4 linked regions of the Caenorhabditis elegans genome follow. The protein of the gene in region 3 purifies or fractionates together with the protein of the main gene of each other region. This does not show direct contact. Each region holds a gene or a part of one and is shown on either strand. Other genes may lie near its edges.

What was found.
Region 1: the proteins of htp-3 (region 3) and htp-2 purify together in Caenorhabditis elegans (affinity purification with western blotting; 2 studies listed by BioGRID, with this or other methods). This does not show direct contact.
Region 2: the proteins of htp-3 (region 3) and evl-14 purify together in Caenorhabditis elegans (affinity purification with mass spectrometry, with the first as the bait; one study listed by BioGRID). This does not show direct contact.
Region 4: the proteins of htp-3 (region 3) and coh-4 purify together in Caenorhabditis elegans (affinity purification with mass spectrometry, with the first as the bait; one study listed by BioGRID). This does not show direct contact.

What each region holds. Positions count from the first base shown.
Region 1 is NC_003282.8:6,417,991-6,421,421, forward strand, and holds htp-2 (HORMA domain-containing protein), read left to right. Parts: upstream 1-1,531; 5' UTR 1,532-1,538; coding exon 1,539-1,604; intron 1,605-1,649; coding exon 1,650-1,797; intron 1,798-1,843; coding exon 1,844-2,577; intron 2,578-2,626; coding exon 2,627-2,737; 3' UTR 2,738-2,908; downstream 2,909-3,431. Other genes in the region: Y73B6BL.23 (uncharacterized protein), read right to left, coding at 213-309, 356-429, 477-617, 668-733, 780-858, 904-966, 1,015-1,088.
Region 2 is NC_003281.10:4,310,080-4,314,630, reverse strand, and holds the start of evl-14 (Cnd1 domain-containing protein), read left to right. Parts: upstream 1-1,502; 5' UTR 1,503-1,506; coding exon 1,507-1,590; intron 1,591-1,743; coding exon 1,744-1,956; intron 1,957-2,005; coding exon 2,006-2,098; intron 2,099-2,145; coding exon 2,146-2,472; intron 2,473-3,000; coding exon 3,001-3,252; intron 3,253-3,306; coding exon 3,307-3,425; intron 3,426-3,482; coding exon 3,483-3,580; intron 3,581-3,753; coding exon 3,754-3,899; intron 3,900-3,952; coding exon 3,953-4,296; intron 4,297-4,551. Other genes in the region: dcn-1 (Defective in cullin neddylation protein 1), read right to left, coding at 651-683.
Region 3 is NC_003279.8:4,825,283-4,830,297, forward strand, and holds htp-3 (HORMA domain-containing protein), read left to right. Parts: upstream 1-1,789; 5' UTR 1,790-1,796; coding exon 1,797-1,853; intron 1,854-1,903; coding exon 1,904-2,057; intron 2,058-2,106; coding exon 2,107-2,210; intron 2,211-2,254; coding exon 2,255-2,367; intron 2,368-2,412; coding exon 2,413-2,564; intron 2,565-2,613; coding exon 2,614-2,707; intron 2,708-2,754; coding exon 2,755-2,939; intron 2,940-2,983; coding exon 2,984-3,348; intron 3,349-3,398; coding exon 3,399-4,394; 3' UTR 4,395-4,514; downstream 4,515-5,015. Other genes in the region: tofu-4 (Twenty One u-rna (21U-RNA) biogenesis Fouled Up), read right to left, coding at 1-193, 239-355, 400-632, 677-784, 833-1,006, 1,052-1,351; F57C9.4 (C2H2-type domain-containing protein), read left to right, coding at 4,858-4,974.
Region 4 is NC_003283.11:4,169,607-4,177,237, forward strand, and holds coh-4 (Rad21/Rec8-like protein C-terminal eukaryotic domain-containing protein), read right to left. Parts: upstream 6,035-7,631; 5' UTR 6,020-6,034; coding exon 5,958-6,019; intron 5,913-5,957; coding exon 5,710-5,912; intron 5,656-5,709; coding exon 5,489-5,655; intron 5,437-5,488; coding exon 5,276-5,436; intron 4,627-5,275; coding exon 4,350-4,626; intron 3,380-4,349; coding exon 3,200-3,379; intron 3,147-3,199; coding exon 2,806-3,146; intron 2,188-2,805; coding exon 2,083-2,187; intron 2,035-2,082; coding exon 1,924-2,034; intron 786-1,923; coding exon 682-785; intron 633-681; coding exon 514-632; 3' UTR 306-513; downstream 1-305. Other genes in the region: Y45G5AM.7 (Cilia- and flagella-associated protein 157), read right to left, coding at 1-58, 116-144; Protein pid-5, read left to right, coding at 6,318-6,402, 6,453-6,596, 6,645-6,745, 6,807-7,016, 7,056-7,586.

The sequences.
Region 1 (3,431 bases), on a different chromosome or scaffold from region 3:
TTCGATCATATTATGGATTAATAATGGGAAAACAGCTCCTGATATAGAATCATGGAAAATACAATGTTAGAACTTCTTAACCGGTACAGAGAAAATTGAATGAGGGGGGGTTTGATTACGGGTATGATGGGACTGACAATATGAGAAAGAATGAGGAGCCACGCAGGCATAAGAAATATGACAGATTGAGAGAAGCTGAAGAGGGAGATCATTCATGGAGAGATGTACCAATTGGAACCTTCTTTGTACGACTTCTCGTTGTTGCAGTTGGGCGCGGTGGGAATCAATGGGTACAGATAGTAAACCCATCTGGAAAAAGAGATTTCAGAGTTAATTCATTGATTTAGATACTCACTGTGGATATACGAGCTCCTCGAATTCCTCCATAATGCCACAGATACTCGAATCGTTGGAGTTGTTGGTACCGTTCTACAAAAATACATTACAACTAATAATCGATGAAACTTTTCTGGTACCTCATTATCGATAATCAGGTCCTGTGCGACAGGCTCGTTGATTCTTTGCCTCTCCACTTCTATTCGAGGCTGTGCCCTCTGGAACGGAATCGGCGCAACGGTGGGTGCTGTAGTTCTTGTCCTTCTATCTTGTGGCAATCTCTGAAACCAAGATCAGTCTCGTAACGAAAATATGAAGAAAATAAACTCACTGGACCGGGAGTAGCCGACCGACGCGAATTGCGGGATGTCTGAGCATTTCGGGACTCGTTCATCAGCTAAAACAAGAAAAATGAGATCTTTTCGTTGTACTGTGACACTCACTATGATTTCGTCCGGATAAGATGGCCACGAGTCTGGCGATCCAAGCGAATAAGCACCTGTAGTCACCCAGTCGTTCACCCTGAAGAATGAATCAATTAGGAGCATTCAAAAATTAGTTTCATACGTTTGTTGCCTGACGACCTCACTGACTGGAACGCTCCGGATTTTGTCCGTGTATGTGCCTTTGCTGAAAGGAAAGTACTCGAAAAAATGGCATTTTGTTAATTTCAAATACCTCGGGGAGTGCTCTTCTCTTGGCTTAGAACTCCAATTCTGTCTCGTTTGATGACGTCCTCGATAGTTTGGCATCTGAAAACAATGGAAAACGTTTTTTGAGCTTAATAGGAGAAAAATTAGGTGAATTCGCACAAAAAATGAGAATTCAAAACGTTTCGAAACCAAGCAAACAGGCTACAGTAATCAAAGGCGCAGTCAGTAAACTAAATTTAGGTATCACCACGGGTTCGCGAATTTCACTTGCATTTGCGTATTTTTAAAACATATTACTTTCTAAAACTACTTCTAGCAAATAAACTTATTGCCAGTTTTGAAATGAATAAAAAATTTACTTTAAAATGAAAAGAAAAGCTGCATTTAGTCAAAAATTATTTGAATAATTTTCAGCTTTTGTAATTGCGTGGTGAGACCAATGGGTTGCACCAATCCGATGTACCTTTAATTACGCATCATCTGCATTCTTTTTTTTGAATTCAAAAATTAAACTTTGCCCTAAAAATGTCTTCAAATTGTTTTTTGCAGATGGCGCCTTTGGAAAATAACTACAACGAGTCGCTCAACAAATCGAAGGATGCCATTGATGATAAAGTTTGTTTCATGGTTTTATGCTTATTTTAATTTTTTTAATTTTAGACATGGTCCAAACTTTTCCCAAGCATTGTCAGCGACCCGGATCGATCGTCCAATTTTATGATCAGGGCAATCTACGTCGTGTTTTCGGCTGTTCTCAGGCAACGTAACATTCTCGAAAAAGAATATTTCTCGAAGAATTACATCACTGGTAATTGTTTTTCTTATCACATTGTATTGTAAATGTTTTTTTCCAGAAAATCTGAGTTGCATGACGCTGAGCTTCAAAAACCTACGGGCTCACCAAATCGCTCAACTACTTCGAGCCGCCGGGGATGCCACAAAGGATGGGTTTCTGAAAGAAATCTCCCTCGTGGTGACCGAGCATGACGGAGATGTTGAAGCCATCGAAGTGTTCTCTATGAAGTTCATTTATTTTGAGAATGGCGGCGTGGTTGCTCGTCTGAGCACTGACAACAATGACCAGGAAGATCCTCACTTCGCGGAGCTTGCTCAACTTCGATATGAGGGTGCCGAAAGTGTACGGGATCAAATGGTGACGATTGTTCGCAGTGTTCAGTTCCTCTGCACGAAAGTTCTCGAACCGTTGCCAGCAGAATTCACGGCTAATTTTCGATTGAAGTACACAAACGATGCTCCATCCAATTTCCGCATCGATGGCTTCGACGATTCTTCCACTTTTTACACACTTCCTGATGGTATCCAATCGGTCACCATTGGTCACTTACGCCCGGGACACCACGCTGCACACATGCAATGCTGGAGCAAGTCGATGTCCGATTCATACGCAGCAGAGTTGACTCTCAAGGGACATCTGGACAAAGTTTCCGATATGTATGCATTCAATCCAGTGAATGTGCTGTATAAATCGTTCAATTCGGAGGACACCGACCCAGGTCTTAGTCAGGATACTACTGAATCTGCCAACGATCAAGGAGGAAACGTGACGTCTCCGGTTGATAATATAACCGTTAGATTAAATAGTGTTGTACACATTAACAAACAGTTTCAATTTGTAGGATTCTCTCGAGAAAACACAAATGTCGCCTATCAAGATGAGACCAACTACTCGCAGAGGAGCCGATGACAGCAAAACCAGATCTTCTCCATACTCTCGCTCCCGTAAATAATTTTTCTCGTTGTGTTCATTAGTTTACAGCTTTATCCTGTAACATGGCATGTTCTATATCATCATGTACAATGTTTTATTGTCTAGAGTTTTATTTTCCTTTTTGCTCCATTTTGTATCCTTGGTTTTCTTTTTAAAATTACAGTCATTCGTAAATAAATTGACTGGTGTTGTTAGAATTTTTCCCACGTCCCAGTTTCAGGATACTTGAATGTATTCCATAGTTTCCATCAATTGGCCGATCTAATTGTATGAAGGATTCGTATTCTTTTGCTGAGTCCCGCTCCGAATATCTTTTGGCATTTAAATCTAAAAATTTTCTGCAATAAGCACCAGGAACCGGACATGCTTCATGAGCTCATAATCATAACTACTAGCTTCTGCTAATTCTGCAGTCAACCCGAGATCGTAACCATAAGTCGTGGAACTGAGTTCTTGAAGTTTGTAGATGCCCGCGCCACTGATTCGGGTCATGAATCCGCGTTGCAGTTGAAAATATTCTATTATTATATTTAATTTTGTTCTTTGATTTAACAAAAAAATAGCGCTCAAATACGCTTAAAACAAGAATTTTTCGTATTCTGTGCCAAAATTTATCAATCGTGGCGAGACCTATAGGCTTAACGTCGAAATGCGCCTTAAAATTCTACAGTACTTTATTTCATTTTGCGCGGGAAATTTTGGGATTTTAGTTT
Region 2 (4,551 bases), on a different chromosome or scaffold from region 3:
AAGTGAGAATTTAAAAAGTGACTTCGATCGGAAATGGGAAACCGTTGATCACAATTAGAACTACTAAAAATTTTAGGATTGAGCGAAAACATTGCTCAGCTTTAAAAAATGAGGAAAATTGATATTTCATAAACCAGCAGCAGTGATTAGATTGTTTGAAGAGACGCAGGAAAATCGCGGGCAAAACGCTCTGCTCGCCAAAGTTGGGTCTCGTTAGGTATTTGGCGGGAAAACCTCGAAATTTAATATTGGAGCGCGTTTCCACGTAGATTTAAAAAAGATACATTTTTCTGCTTTGGGTCTCGCAACGATTTTGAGAAAAGTCAGCTTTCTAGATGAGCTAGAATTTGTCTAGTCAAGAAATAACAAACGAAGCAGCAAGATGTGGCAAAATTAGTTTTTTTTTCGAAATTCCCGCTACAACTCACGATATTATCGTAGTTCTTGGGAAAAATGTCAGAAAGAACAGTGCTTTGAGCTAGAGAACTCGAACTTGCTCGAGATAAATGCTGAAAAAGAGAAAAACGGGAATGGATGACGAATGGAATTTTCACACGCACAAATTTACTGTTTTCTTGTTTTCTACACTTTTTGTGATCAGTTTCCATATCACTCATCTCCACTTCATCGTCTTGTTTCCGTTTACAAACCTTTGTTTTTTGATCGGACTTCAGTCGATTCATTGTGTAGACGTAGTGGTTAGCCTGGAAAATTCATTGTTTTAGTGATTTTAAAATTAAATCTGCGTAATTTCGAAATTGTTAAACGACAAAAAAGATACAACTTTTCGAAACAAAACTGATAAGCAATGCAGTTAATAATTTCAAAAAATAAAGCAATTTAATAACGCAAAGAGAAGAGGGAAGGAAGAAGAAACGAACAACAACGCGGTCGATTAACGAATCAATAGAAAAATACGGGAAAAACTATAAAATGGTGAGCGATAGAGGAAACCACGAGAAAACGCTGCAATGTAATGCAGATGTGACGTCATACACTTTGTTTAGCGGGAAACGGAGTGTCGTATTGATTTCGATTAACGTCGGCGTCTCTCGAAAAGAAAACTGAAGAAAATCAACATAATTTTGAATTCCATTGAAAAGGAATATATTAGAGATAATATTTACTACAGCATCGCTCATTTAAAAAACATTTTTCTGTAACAGAAAGTGAAGTTTTATTGAATTTGTATTATTTTCAATGATTGCAAAGTTTTTTACATATTTTAATATGTATATACAATTTAAAACATGACAATTTTAATTGAGAAAAGCGGAACATTTAAATAATTATACAAAATTGAGAGAAAGCGTGAAAAAGCATTTGAAACAAATTTTGGCGCGCGCTTGAAACATTTAAATCTCGGCGAGACCCGTTTGTTCCCACTGCCCATGCTCCTTTAATACAGTATCTCACACTATTTTCAATTTAATTTCTTTTCTATTTCTCCATTTTCTCCATTTTTTCGACAATTTTTATTGAATTTTTGCTTCCAATTTCAGTAAAATGAGCGGTGATGTGGATTACCCGCAAGGATGTCTTCCAATTCTTAACTCAAATAATGTGACACAACAAATTGAACGCTTACGAGTGAGTTTCAGAAATTTCAACAAAAAAACAACTTATTTTGAATCTAAATTGATGCCTTTAAAGAAGTTGAATATGAGAAATGAATTATTTTTTGATGAAAAGAACGTTAAAAGAAATGATTAAACATTATTTAAAAAAATATATAATTTTCAGAAACTATTTAACTGTCTCCATGACTGCAAAACAAACAATAGCGAAGAAGTATCGTCTCCGAATCGATTCGCAAGGCTTTTCCAACATTTATCACAAGAATGCTTCCTTGACAATTCAAATACAGATTTTCGGATCCTTCTTTCACTTTGTCTCGCGAATATTCTGCGAATCTTCCAGCCAGAGCTACCGACGCCAAGTGTAATGGATTTAAAGGTTAGAATTCAAGTAAATTATTGATTTTTAATGAAATTTTCTGTTTCAGGAGGTTTATATCTACCTTTTCCGTACCATGCGAGGACTCGGAGACGTTACTCAGGATAGTCCGAAGTTTAAAAATTACTTCTCGTTGGTTGAGGTTTGCTGTAGAAATTCTAGCACCAAAAAATAATTATTTATATTCAGACAATGGAGAAAATCATTCCACCAATCATCGAAATGAAGGATCACGATGATAAAGAAGCAACTCCGGTGTTCCGAGCGTTGATCAAGGATATTCTGGCGATTCCGTGTGGAAAAGGATGGAATCAGAATCTGAAAAAAGAAGCGCGACTTTTGAAAATTCAAGAAAATGACGATGATTCAATGAATGATGACGAAGAAGATGAGAATGCCGCCGAAAAAATTCGGAAATCTTTAATTCAAATTGCAACGACAGTGATTACTAATTTGGATTTTGTTCAGAACGAGTGCCTTGATGTTTTGTTTTATCATATTATTAATCCACAGAGAGTAAGTTTTGTGGAATTAAATAGGGAATTAGCGTTGAAAACAAAAAATAGCCCCAGAATATTTAAATTTATGAATATGTCCCTTGAAATCGGCCGAAAATTTTAAAAAATCATTTTTTTTCCCTATTCCGCGTATTTTGTCGTTTATTCTAATGCTTATTTTGTTGATTTGCATATTTTCATGTCTACAAGAAAATTTTTTTCAAAATTTTCAAATTATGGATTCCGTCTGATCGAAAAGTGCGTGAATCAACAAAAACAGAAGGAATAAACGACAAAAACTTGCGAAATGTACAATTAATTTCATAAAAAATACCATCTTTTAATCACTACGACACGAAAATAACGGCGTAATTTAAGGTTGTAACTGAATTTAGAATTTATTGCAATTATTGAATGATTTTTCAAAAACCGTTATTTAAAGTTTTTGGAAAAAAAATTTTAATGCAAAACTATGAGAAAAGTATGAAAAATTCTCTTATAGAATACCCTTTCAGAATATATTTCCAACAAAAAACTTCAATTTCAGAGCAATTTCGCAGAAGCACGTGCACTGGCAGAAGATATCATCCGATCCTGCAGTGATAATGAGTCAGACACTTTAGCAAATTCCATTCGAAGTACAATGACAGCAGCCGCAAAAGAAGGGAAACTTCCAGAAGAATTCGAGTTAACTGGTTCCAGTAATCGAAGTAAATTCTTTGAAGTACTCCGTTATCTTCACTACGTATCATTTGATTTGGTGTCTGGCGCTATTCAAGAACTCAAATTTTGGCTTCAGGTAGGACAATTGAAAAAAGGAACTTAGTAGAGTACTCATCAAATCATTTTTCAGTCAGAAAATGAGCAGTACCGAAAAGAAGCAGTGACAGTCGTTGGAATGTTGACACGTGACAAACATTGTCAATTCGGAATGGATTCAAATGATCCAACATGGAGTGCTTTTTTGAATGCGTTAGTTTTTTAATTGTAATTAAATTATTTTGTCGAATTTTTTGTGATTTTTTTCAGGTCTATCGATCAAGATGATAGTGTTCGACACGAATTTGTGCAACAATCGAAAGATATTCTAATTTCGAATCATTCACATCTCAGGGGACAGATTATTAGTAGGTTTTCGTGAAATAAAAACTATTTTTTCTCATATTGGATAAAAGCTAAAATTGAATTTTCACGGTTTTGAAAGTTGGTTTTTTAAAAAATGTTTTTTCATGTTTTTTAGTGAAATTTTCCAAATTCAAGAAAATTTTGAATTTTTCTAAAGTAAAATCCCCATTTTCAGATAGCCTGCTACGTCTCTCCGTTGATTTAAATGACGATATTCGACGAGATGTTGTAACTGGAGTTACTGAAGTGGCAAAAACGAAATTAGAAGTTATTAGTGATAAAATGCTAAAGGCCTGTGCCGAGCGGATGAAGGATAAAAAGGTTTTTTATATTAAAAAATCTAATTAAAAAAGCGAAAACCCTAAAAATTCCAGCCAAAAGTCCGAATTCAAGCGATCAAACGTCTAATGGATCTTTATAATCATGTGATGACGTCATCACCTCAACCATTTTTCTCAAAAGATGGAAGTTGTGCACCAAAAGATTCAAAAGAAGCGACATTATCATATACTGAATCAGAAAAAGAATCAGTTCGATTCATTTCAACGGCAGTTTTTAATGTTTATAGATTGACACAAAGATTGCCAGCTTATCACGATGCAAGAGCAATTATCGAAAGATATTTCCAATTATATCTTGTTCCGTACAAAGTTGAACCAAAATTGAGAGTTCGATTAATGGCGGATTTATTCAGAAATCTTGATGATATTGGATGCATGTACGTTGATATTTTTAGAATTTCTAAAAAAAATTTCGTTCTAAAACTATCGAAAATAATTCTAACAGTGAAAAAATGGGTTTTTACGGGATTTTTTTTGTTGCAAAAACTAATCCGAATTAATTTTGAATTGCCTAAAGAAGGAAGTTTTCGATTTTTCTATTATCCGAAAAAATCAATATTTCATCAAATTTTGTTTATCTCGATGAGAAAAAAACATAAGAAAACATTAAATTTTATTCTAAAAAAAAAAAG
Region 3 (5,015 bases):
CTCCGATGTACTTTCCACGTTTGTGTAGTCGATTGGAACATCTACATGTCCGAGCGATTTCTGCTTAATCCTTTCGCGAATTTCCTTCATCAGTTTGGAGTCTCTTTCCTGCTTTTTTGAATTTGCGACATTATTCAGGAACTTGATGGAAGACTCGTGAGCATTGAATGTGGATTGGAAGAAGACGAGATGGCTGAAAAATATTCTTAATCAATATATATGGTTTTAAAATACTCACGTAAATGGTTCCTGCCATAATAATTCGTCCGGATATTTGATGTCGTTCTTGTCAATAAATCCTGAATGTTGATTTTGAATTGAAGATCGACTGTATCCATGAACGGACTTTGGAGCACTGAAAACATAATATTTATTCATGATATTTCTCTTAACAATTACTTGTAGCTCGCGATCTTCTCCGAAAAAGGGTTCATATTTAGTTCGACGGCCTGTGCCACTTGCTCTTTAGAGTTTCTTGTTTGGTAGAAAGAAAATGAATGCGAAATAATATCCGCTTCATCCTCATCGGAATTGATTTCGTCTCTTTTTGTTGATCTGATTCCGATACCCATCCTTCTCATTGCTTTCCAATCGACTTCAGGATCGTCTTGTTTGATGTCACTTGTCAAAGACTGAAAAATTATTGCAAATATTTAAATTATAAATTCTTACACACCTTCAGAGTCAATCCTTGCTCAGCAAAAGTGTCACAGGTGTAATCATCTGCAAGTTCCAGGTCCGGTCTCTTGATGCGACGTCTTTTAGGGACTCCTTGAGGTCTGGTCTGCAAGAAATCATTTCTAAATTTCAACAACTAGCATTAAAATCCCACCATTTTTCTTCTATACAGTCGCCTTCTTCGTTGCTTCGGCATCGCTTGTGGTTCGTACTCACAAACCACGTCTTCAGTGTCTGAGACTTCCCCATCTAACGCTTTCTTTTTCTTTTTGAGAATCCTGTCGTTCTTCAACCCACGAGCAATTTTCTGCTCTAATTCTCGGACAATCTTAAAGAAGTTAAATCGATAAAAATTTTTTAAAAGGCAGCATACGCGTTCATCCGGTCGCTCGCCTTCGGAACTTTCTGCAGCATCCACCATCGAACTCTTGTGAGTCTCCACAACGTATTCATCATCACTCTCCTCGTCGCTGCTGCTACTGTGATCATCGTCGTATTCATTTTCTGAAAAACTCTTGTTGTCAGTGCCATCTGCCGATGCGGGCGGTACTTCGATCTCCAACGGATCCTCTACAATTTCTGTTTCAGGAATTCGTGATTTCTTCTCGGGCTGGTTCACTCCCGAAGATTCCGCATTTGCTCTTTTTGATGCGCTTCTCGTCGTCGGTTTCATCTGAAATTAATGTCTCATTATTAAATATAGAAGCTTAAAAACACAATAAATGAATAAGTAAAAAACGTTTATTTAAATTTTAAGTGCTTTCATCTGTTCTTTGCACATTTCAAAGCGGTTTCTAGACTCAAAATACATAGAGATATGCTCAGATTTTAATAAACTACAATTTTAAAACTTCAAAATATGAGAAATTCTCTTGAAAGTGCATTTTAAGTAGAAAATGAACGGAAAAAAATTGAAATATAAAAGAAAAAACTTAAAGGTGCATGACATTTCTTCCATGGGTCTCGACACGAGAACACAACATGTTGACCTGAGTTACGGTAAACTTCGGTTGAAATTAGTTATTTTATGTCAAATTATTCATTTATTTTTCAGTTTTTTCTCATTTTCAATTAGTTTTTAATTAAAAAAAATGTTTTAAAATATTTTAAGTGTCAAAATGGACGAAAGCTTCGACTCTTCTGTTGTCCCTGGCTCTCTGACGAGTGATGACAGGGTGAGTAGATTTGACAGAGTTTTTTTTGTCGAGAAAACGAAAATTTTCAGGCTATATTCAACGAGCAAACATTGAAAAATGGTGATGAAAATTCGAAAAGCTCTCTTGAAGTGATGGCCAACTGCGTTTATCTTGCAAACTCAACAATTCTCCGTGAACGGAAAGTTATTCCTGCGGAATACTTCCAGGATTTTCAAGTTTATGGTGAGGTTTTATCTATCTGACTTGCAATTAAGCATGAATTATTTTATAGGAGATGTCAGCGGATATACTTTGCGACAAGACATTCCAGAAGGACGGAGTGTGTCTTCGAAGCTTTTGGCGTCTCATGACGCGATCCGTCAGAAACTCCTTCAGGTACAGTTTTACTCTCGTAAGTGGTAAAAATTCATTGTTTGCAGAAACTCGCTATTGTCGTTGAAGAGTCACTAAACACGAATCCCGTGGAAACGTTTGTCTGGACCTTTGTCTATGACTCAACCACATCTGCAAGTGCCGAAATCGGATACGGAGGGTTAGATCATTTATCTAAATATAAATTTCACTGACTCTTTTCCAGGCGTAAATCTAAATTTGTGGTGAATTATTTAAACATGGATGATACTGCTCAACAGTTTTGCAAGATGTTCAGCGAGCTTAGAAATGTTCTAAGCCTGCTCCGTCCGCTACCAAGAGGCCTCATTCCATCGATGAAAGTAGCATACAGAGGAGGTAAGGTTAAAAATATTTAATTTAAATCATAAATAAATTATTGTTTTAGAACCGGAATTCGTTCCCGGATTTCAACAAGTCGACGATTTTGTGAATCCTGAGCAGATCAATCTTGGTGCTGTTAGTTTTCCTCACGGCAATGGGTTTGTTCGTCATTTCAATCATCAAATTCTTAATTAAATTGATTCAGATTTCAATTCGCATATGCCTCGAAATTCATGGTTGAACAGCCTTCAGCCATTCGTCCACCAGTGGAAGTTTCTCATTTTGAAGATGATTTGCTCAACTCAACGATCACACCGATCGAAGTTGTTCGAGATAACACAATGAATTGTGCTGAGAATCCTGAACTTGACGAAATCTATTTTTCACCAGGTGCGTTTTGTCGAGAAAAAAAATTAATTTTCTAATGTTTATAGGTCGTCAAGAAGTACGTATGGACGAAGATGTGGCAAACGAATCAATTCGTTGTAATCCAAGTATGGCCAGTGAAATGATGGTTCTGCAGTCCGAATATAATGTATTGATTGCTGATAATGATGAAGTTCCAATGGTTGTTGAAAGGGAACGTTCTCCAATAGTGAAAGCTGCAAAGAAACGTTCAACGAGAGCTCCCGCTGTCCCGATAACTCCAACGGAACCGGCTTCTCCCGTGGAGTCCCCGGTGAAAGAGCAACCTCAAAAAGCGCCAAAAGCTCAGATGAGACGTTCCAGTAAACGCACCACGAAGAACAATGAACGATGCGAACAGAAAGAAGAAGAACCAATAGTGAACCCAAAAAGGGTAATTATTTTTATTGTTATAATAAAAATGTTAAGTTCAATAATTTACAGAGAAGTGCTCGTCGGCTTGTACCTCCAGTTGAAGTCGATGAACAGCCAGAAGAACAAAATGATGATGATGCTCAGAATTCTCTTCAAATTGACTCTGATGCTCAGAATTCTCTTCAAATTGACTCTGATGCTATTATCACCTCTCCCGAGAAGAGAAATGAATCAAAGTCTGCAATACCTGAGGAAGCTGCGGATCTAGATAATACTACATCTGAGAAGCAGGAGAGCTCAACAGCAAGATATGGCGTTTCAAATACTTCTATTAACAGGAAAAAACCAGACCCAGTTGCAAATCCGGTTTCGGAAGAGGCTCAGGTAGATTTGGCGAACGGTAGTATCCCGGATAAAAGACCACGGAAGAGAAAATATGGACGAGTGTCGAGTATTCTCGACGTCGCTGATCTGCCAACTGACGATACAGTGGAGGAAGACGTTCGTGAAAGTCCCATCTACGGTCGTGTACCAAGTATATTGGATGTAGCAAGGGCTGAGGAGAACGATGCTCAAAATGATGCTCAAGATGCTCAAAATGAAATTGCTGTTGAGGGACTTGCCGACTTATCAATTGACACCGAGCAGCATGAAGAAGCAGCTCCAATTAATGTTACTGGTCATCAATCGGAGAGCGTTCCAATCATTGTGACGGAGCATCAGTCTGAAGAAGCTCAAACGGTTGTCACGGAGCAACCAGCAGGAGCAGCTTCAGTTATTGCTGCGGAGAGACACTACGGCCGAGTTTCGAGTATTCTCGATGTAGCTGGTTCGTTCGCTGACGTAGATCCATCAGGTGCCGCTCCAGCTATTGCCACAGAGAGACACTACGGCCGAGTTTCGAGTATTCTTGATGTAGCTGGTTCGTTAAGTGACGTAGATCCACAGGAAGATACCGAAAGCTCCACTCAAAACCAATCGACTTCCAAGAAATTCAAACCAAACCCTCCAAAGGCAATGAGGTACGGCCAGTCGCCGAACATGCCAAGTAGAAGAGGAAACTGAACGATTTCTGGACAATCGTGTACAATTATCAATCTGTTCCATTTTTTTGTTGTTTCTTCGATTTCCTTTTTAATAGTTGGACAAATGCCTTAGTTTTCGAATGAATTTTTTAAATATTAATTTTCATATCCGATGATGATGGGAATTTGTTAAAATACAAAATATTACTTGCATGTGATGAAATATTTAGAGCTATTCAAGTATTTTCCAGCGTTTCAGAATTCTTTCGTTGGCGTTCTTTTTTGAACATAGCGCCGTTTTCTTTCTCAAAGGAGCGCGGTGACATACACTTGTTTCCCTTTTTTCAGTGGCCGTTCGCTCTTTACTCTAATCGATTTCACTTTGGCATTCTGTTCTTATTCCAGCTAAAGTTTTTAAGAATTGTGTTTTTTTAATGAATTTCTCTTTTTGGGTTCTATTTAGTTCGCCACATTTTGAAAAAAATCAACGTTTTTCAGGATAAATGACATCATTAATCGATTCGAGGGTGCTCTACGAGAGTGATTTTTCCATTTTCAACGGTCGACTATGTTCTCTACGCATATCAGCTGTTACCAATAATGAAGAGGGTATTGAAAAAGTGAGATTAATTGGAGATATATTGATTTTTAAATAAAAATA
Region 4 (7,631 bases), on a different chromosome or scaffold from region 3:
CACGGAAACAGGAGCGAGACGTTCAATTTCTGGATCTCTAACCAAGCTTGAATTGGACCTGAAAATTGGCGCTTTTTATTGAAAAACTTATTAAAATAAATGCTTAAAATCTCACCCAGGCACACTTCTTTGAGTTTCATCCATTTGTGAGTCGAATTAGTTGTAAAATCTAGAAAATCAGAGAAAGAAAACCGAGAAATGAATTAAAAATCGGAAGGATTTTTTGAATGACCCCGCTTCGCGTTAGAGCGCGCTTGCAACATTCACTTAAAGGCACACATAAGTCGGACGGTGCAGACGGCTGACGTTTTTTGAACAAAATAAGATTTTACCCAGAGAAAAAAAAACAGGGAATAAGAATGATACACGATGGAAATTGAACATGAGAGTCAGGAAAAGAAAAAGGGGAAAACAGTTTAAAATGGACAGTTTACAATTTTACAAGTGGGAGAAATACTTTTGATTCTATTTAAATGCAGCTAAACTATTAAAAAAGAAAAAACAATTGTACAGTTAAAAATCCGCCATTGCCAGCTCGTCGATATCTTCAATGTCATCCGTTGATAGCAGCAAATCGATATTTCCATAAGGATCACGTTGAATGGCCTTGATCTCACGTTCTTTGAGGAGCTCTGAAACACCAAAAATATTGAAAATGACGTAATAAACTATTTAATCTACCAAGAACTGTATAAAATGTGCGAGCGGCTTCTCGTCGAGATGTCGCAGCCAGTGGGATAATCGAATCCAGAGTGACCTCGTAGGGGCATTCACTATTCAGCTTGCTGAAAATAACTGCGTGAATAAATAATACTGTCAGCTGCACGCCCTGCTCAAGTGTTCATAATTATTAGAGTGCGCTCGCGCGGCACCTCACGAACTCCAGAATTCGCGGGATTTCGTTTCGCGGCGGGGACAGTAGTTTTTGGCTATTTTTGGCTTCTACGGAAATTATTTTTAATTTTTAATTTATAATATTGTTGAGAAGCACCAGCCGAATTGAAAATGAATTGAAAATTATGAAAATTGACCGAAAACTGAAGGAGTCACCACGGCTTTCTTTAAAATGTATCAGTACCGTTAGTTTTTCGATTTCAGAGTCGTAAAATATGTCATTTTGTAGAGAAAAGTCTGTTCCACAAAAATCCATGTTTGAAATTTTAATTGTTTGATTTCTAATATGAAAATATTCAAAAAATCAACAATTTTACGTTAAAATCTAATTTTTTCAATTTTTAATAAGAACAATTTTAAAATTTCAAACATGGATTTTTGTGAAACAAACTTTTCTCTACAAAATGACATATTTTACGACTCTGAAATCGAAAAACTGACGGTACTGATACATTTTATTAAGAAAGTCGTGGTGATTTCACCCCTATCTACTTGTTGTCTGTGGCGTCCCGTCTAAATGTTTTCTACATGTTAACTTGTCGTTGTGGAACCGAATAGCAAAACGTTTCCCTAAACTGTTAACTCCAAATGCATTTGCGTCGCGCCTAGGCTCTATCCCATTTGACACCCTCTTCCCCCCAACTTGACCTCCCGGGCTATAGCTGGTCCAATTGGTCATTTTATTTATCTGTCCACACATCTTTTTTATTTTACTTTTTTTCTTTGTCTTCCGGTGTAGCTATTTCTTGTGGCAAATAAACAATTATTATTATTATTCTTGTGTAAAACTTTCACTATGTGATCAAATTTCATAATTTTACACATTTTCAATTCGGATGGTGCTTCTCAACAATATTATCAATTAAAAAATTAAAAATAATTTCCATAGAAGCCAAAAATAGCCAAAAACTGCTGTCCCCGCAGCGAAACGAAATCCCGCGAATTCTGGAGTTCGTGAGGTGCCGCGCGAGCGCGCTCTAATAATTATGAACACTCCAGGAGGCCGTGCAACTGGAGTATTCAGCTCACTGAATAATATTCGCACGGATGGTGAGCGCATCCGCAATGTTTTCAGATATCGGATTTGACCACGTCGGTTTGGAATTCCAGTTTTCTTCCAATAGCGCCGGCTCATCCATCCTGAAACATAAAATTTATCATCAAATTCTCGAAAAACGAAGCTAAAACCTTGGAGAAATCGGATTCACATTCATCGGCTCAAATTGTTCCAATCGTGGAACCTCGAGCTCTTCTCGAAACTCTATTTCTTCCGGTCGATGCGCTGGAGTCATGCTGAAAATTGAAAATTACTCAAATGCTCAAAGCTTGAAGCCTGGTGATTATTTTAAAGGTGGTGTAGTCGATTGTTTTTTTATTGCTTAATAAAAGACTCAAAATTGTCTGAAAACGCCGAATTTCGTAATGAAACTTCTCCAAAAAAAAATAATGGCGGCTCAAAAACTGGCCTAAAATTAGTTAAAATTTGAAATTTGACTTGTCAGCGGCTGGAGACTTTTTTTTTTTGAAATCACCGTCAAATTTTGGGTATCCAATGCAATTATCTTGCTTTTTCAACTCGATTTATGTAGGTATTTTAAAGTCGATGGACGGCGAGATTTGGTTTAAAAAATTCAAAAATCTCACCGTCCATCGACTTTAAAATCCCTTATTCAAGTTGAAAAAGCAAGATAATTGACCTGTACACTCAAAATTTGACGGTGATTTCAAAAAAAAATTGTCTCCAGCTGCTGACAAGTCAAATTTAAAATTTTAACTAATTTTAGGCCATTTTTAGAGTCGTCTTAACTTTTTTTTTTTTGAGAAGTTTCATTATGAAATTCGGTGTGTTCAGAAAATTTTGAGTCTAATATAGCAATAAAAAATTCGACTGCAACACATTTAAATGCGTACATAGGACTTTTTTCCTTCAGTGGAGTCGCCATGAACTTCATCTGTGACAAGTCGATGGTCTCCAAGAGCTCGCGTTCGGCTTCACGTCGATTTCTCCTCTCCGCTTCCTCATCCTCATCTTCAGTATCAGATACATCGTGGCGCCCAATTGTGGAATCAAATTTCCTCGTTTTCACTTTGAACAGATCCCACATGTCTGTATTGCATCCTTTTCGAAGGTAGTACGGGATCGGGTTCAACAGATCTTTTAAATTCATCACTTTGCTTGTCTTCCGACATAGAGGCTCCACGTCTTTGAAGTGAAGACTGGAATAATCTTCCATCAAGTGATGCATGTCTCTCTGGTAAAAAAAAAGGCGTGGAATAATATTGATTTCACATCTTGATCGCCTACTAATGGAATTTTATAATTGATCCCTTCCTCTGCTCCCTCGTTCTCAGCCATTTGGTTTTTTGTAGCACTATGAGGAGCTTTAGGTATTGTTCTTGGAATCAAAACTTCGTCATCTAATTCCAAGATTTCCGAGGCGATACGTGGAACATTCATCTGTTGTGGCGTAAGAAACTCGGTGTTCTGAAAACGAAAAAATTCGAAAAAAAGTTGAAATTCCAGCCGTTGTGAAACGAAAAAATTGGCAAAAATGGAGATTTTAGCTAAAATTTGGTATGTTTTCCGAAATTTTAACACTTTTTTTGTATATTTTGGTTAAGAAATACCGTTTTTTAGGTCATTTTGGGTGTAAAAAATTCAAAATAACATCAAATTCGGAAAAACCACCAAAACAAAAAAAAATGTTAAAAATTAAAAAAAATCCGAATTATTCTGGATTTTTTAAAAAAATTTTTCTTTTAAAGGTGGACTTCATTCAGTGGGGAAATTGCTTTAAAACATGCTTATCGGGTCACAATGACCAAATATCATGATTTAAAAATTCAAAAAAATTTTCTAAATTTTATATGATTTTTTGAAAATTGAAAAAAAAATCTCAGTTTTCCCCTAATTCCTATTTGATTTACCGCCAATTGAATTCGTTCGATAGAGCGTGCTTGCATCATTTTAAATAATTAATTTTATTTATTCTTATTATTTTACTGATTTTTTTTCATTTTTTGTGTCTTTTTATCGGAAAATGAAAGAAATAAACAAAACAAATGCAAAATGTCTATTAAAAATTAACTGAAAATTCGTAAAACAGTGATATTTTGAGTATTTTAACAGTTTTACGCATTTTCAGTTAATTTTTACAGATCATTTTTCATTTGTCTTGTTTATTCCTTTCATTTTCCGATAAAAAGACGCAAAAAACGAAGAAAATCAGTGAAATAATAAGAATAAATAAAATTAATTAATTAAAATGATGCAAGCGCGCTCCATCGAACGAATTCAATTGGCGGTAATTCAAATAGGAATTAGGTGAAAACTGAGATTTTTTCAATTTTCAAAAAATCATATAAAATTTATAATTTTTTTTGAATTTTTTATCATGATATTCGGTCCTTGTGACCCCATAGGCATCTTTTAAAGCAATTCCCCCTAGACATACGATTCCAGAATTCCTCGCTTCCTCCATTTCTTCGTCCATACTCCTTCTCCGCTCAGTTTCGTCTAGCGCGATGGGAAGATGGGCGAATCGAAGAACGTCCTTCAGGTGCGTGGCTGGTTGAAATACTTCTTCCTCTTGTGGTATGGATTTGGTAGGTGTCATGAGCTGGCTTCGGATAAAATCATCAGATGGACGTTGAAAATCAGTCTCCATATTCAGATTCAGATTGTGGACATTTTGACGGGCATCGTTGAAGGAATATCGATCGATAAATGTTCTGAAACACACATCATTATTATATTCATTGCAACTTTTTCCTCACGAGGACGAGGAAAAGTGGTTTCTAGGCCATGGCCGAGGAGCCGACAAGTTTCAGCGGCCATTTATCTTGATGGATTACGGGAATACAAAACCTAAACTTTTTCTGAAACATGATACATATGCTGCTTAGATGCTGAAACTACCTGATTTTCATAACGAAACCGCTGAAAAAGGTTTGAGGTTTTCAAAATTCAACATTTTGTGCCAAAATCTCGACTTTTTTACCAAAAAAGTTGAATTTTGAAAATCTCAAAACTTTTTCAGCGACCTCGTTATGAAAATCAGGTAGTTTCAGCATCTAAGCAGCATATGTATCATGTTTCAAAAAAAAGTTTAGGTTTTGTATTCCCGTAATCCATTATATTGCATTGCCCACTGAATACATTTTTTTACTTGGAAATTGTTTTAGCATCTGCAAAAAGTATTTATTTATCAGTTTCATTAAGAAAAAACGAGAGAAAACAAGCGGAAAACAAAGCAAGATAAATGGCCGCTGAAACTTGTCGGCCCCTCGGCCATGGCCTAGAAACCACATTTCCTCGTCCCTCGTGAGGAAAAAGTTGCAGTGATATTGCGAACATTATAAGGCGAGAATGCTAACTTACAAATCAATCGCCGTGTTCCGATTCTCTGATTCCAACATTCCGTACATCATTTCAAGTTGTTCCATCGTTGGTGCAGCCAAGTCGTCTTCCACGTTAATTTGGTCGTTCTTGTGAACACTGAGAACATCTGGCATTGTAATGTTTTGCCGTAGAGCCACACTCTGTAATAGATTTTTGTTTTAATTCCGATATTCTTGAAGCATTTAGGCTTACAATCGGCGTAGGAGCGAGAGGAAATTCCTCAGCCTGCCTTCTCTTCTTCTTTGGTGTTTTATTAGAGTTGTCTCCTTCCATCTGTTCGCGAGTTTTTCGTTTCCTCTCTTCTTCTTGCGCCATGTACGACGTGAATGCGACGATGTCTCGAGCACGAATTGCATCATCTGTAATATTTTTTTAAAATATTTTTTCTAGAAAGTGATACTTTAAACACTTACGAAGAAGTCGGGCAACTTGTGTACTGAGAACAATGGTGTTTCCGTACACCAAATTACACGCAACAGAGAGAGATCTTCGGTTTTTCTTCTCATTTCTGAGAATCCAGTGAATGAGCTTGCTTGCTTGAAGAACATCGTGTCTGAGGCACTCACGACGATTTGATTGCAATCCGAGTTTTTTGTGGGATCCAAAAACTATTCCTCTGCAAAAAAAACTGTATTAATCTGGCATAAAATATATTTCTTACAATAGGAACTTCACAGTCGCTTCCTCCGACGCTTTTAGCGGCACATCAATGCTTATGACCATGGTGATTGATTTTCTGCAATTTTTAATTGAAAATACGTTCGAAAGAAACGAAAAAAAGGGATAAAAAAGGATATAAAAGTCCCAAAAAAATAATAATAAATCTGAAAATTCTGGCTCGATCACTGCGAGACCATTGCCTACCGTACCATTTCTTTAAAGGCGCACAAATCAAAACAAGCTCTTTCGTGGCAAGACCCATGTGTGCCGCGTAGCTTCGAACCGCGAAATTTCATTTTTTTTCATTTTCAAATCTTTTCTCGCATATTTTACAGTTTTTACAGTTAAAATTACGTGCGAAATGCCTACGAGCGCTGATGACAGCCTCCCTCTGGAAGATTCCGAAGAATGCGATGCCTACATCGCCAAATTTTTACGGCCCCGAAGTGAGTTTTGTGTTGTTTGGCCTAAAATTTCCAATTAAACATTTTTTCAGCACACTTGTTCAGTACGGTCAAGCAGGAGAAACAGCGACGCGAGTCCCATGACAACAAGTACGAAACGGCGGTGCGTAGTAAAGCCATCATGCCGTCACAAGCTTCAAAAGTTTACAGAAAGGAGATGTTTTACTCCACTTCTAGTAAGCTAGCTGATAAAATAAATACTGACTCTAAAATCTACATTTCAGAGTGTGATTCGCGATTCATCAACAATTTGCACACGTTCAACACTTTCGACGGAGGCAGTGGTTATAGCGAAGCCTCGCCGCACTATGCGATGGATTTTGTTGTTCGTTTTCGAAAATTTTAGGCGATAAAATTGTTTAATGATAATATTTTTTTATTTTCAGAAAAACAAAGGATTCGCTGATGACGAAATGGCCGGGCATTTGAAGAGTCTTGAGGTTTCAAGGAAAATGACTGAAAACGTCAAATGGCTCAATGATAATCGCAACGACTTGAAGACCGCACTCAGAAGGTCGAATTCGTGTCCAGAATTCCCCATCGACAGGGATCGCGAGAAAATTACGACATTACGAAGGAATGAAAAGAGAAATGAGGTTTTTTTTTTGGAAAATTAAATATAATTCGATTTCCAGAACGCCAAAATTTCGAATTTCGACGCCTCATTTGTTCCGGAGCTCTGCTGCTCAGATGACTATCCTTCGATTCTCTGTTCAATTGCGACTGCATTCAAAACCGTTGTCTCACGTGTCAACGCCCAATCAATCGGAAGCGGCGAGCTGAAAATCGCAAAAGTTCTGTGCTCTACTGAAGATCTGTTCGCATATGTGATCCCTAAACGATTCAATACCCGCGATGCTTTGTTTGCCTTTTCGAATCAATTCAGAGCGTGGCTCGAATACAAGCCTAATGTCCAGCTTTACACTCACTATCGCTTCATAAACGTGATACTGTATCTCGAAGAGTTTAAGCACGAGAGAACGGAATTCCGAAGGGCACGCCATGTCTGCAATCTGAAAAGCCGCAGAAATCATGGATTATTTCTGGAGTTGGATACGGGAATGCTACGTGTGGTGGAAATTACGCCGGAAAAAGTCAGATTTTTAGCGAATTCCTGGGCTCATAATCCGTCAGCGATTGTCGAGGTTCGATTCGACGGGGTGAAGGTGAAAATTTAGATTTTTTTTTTTCGAGACAGATATTTTAAAGGT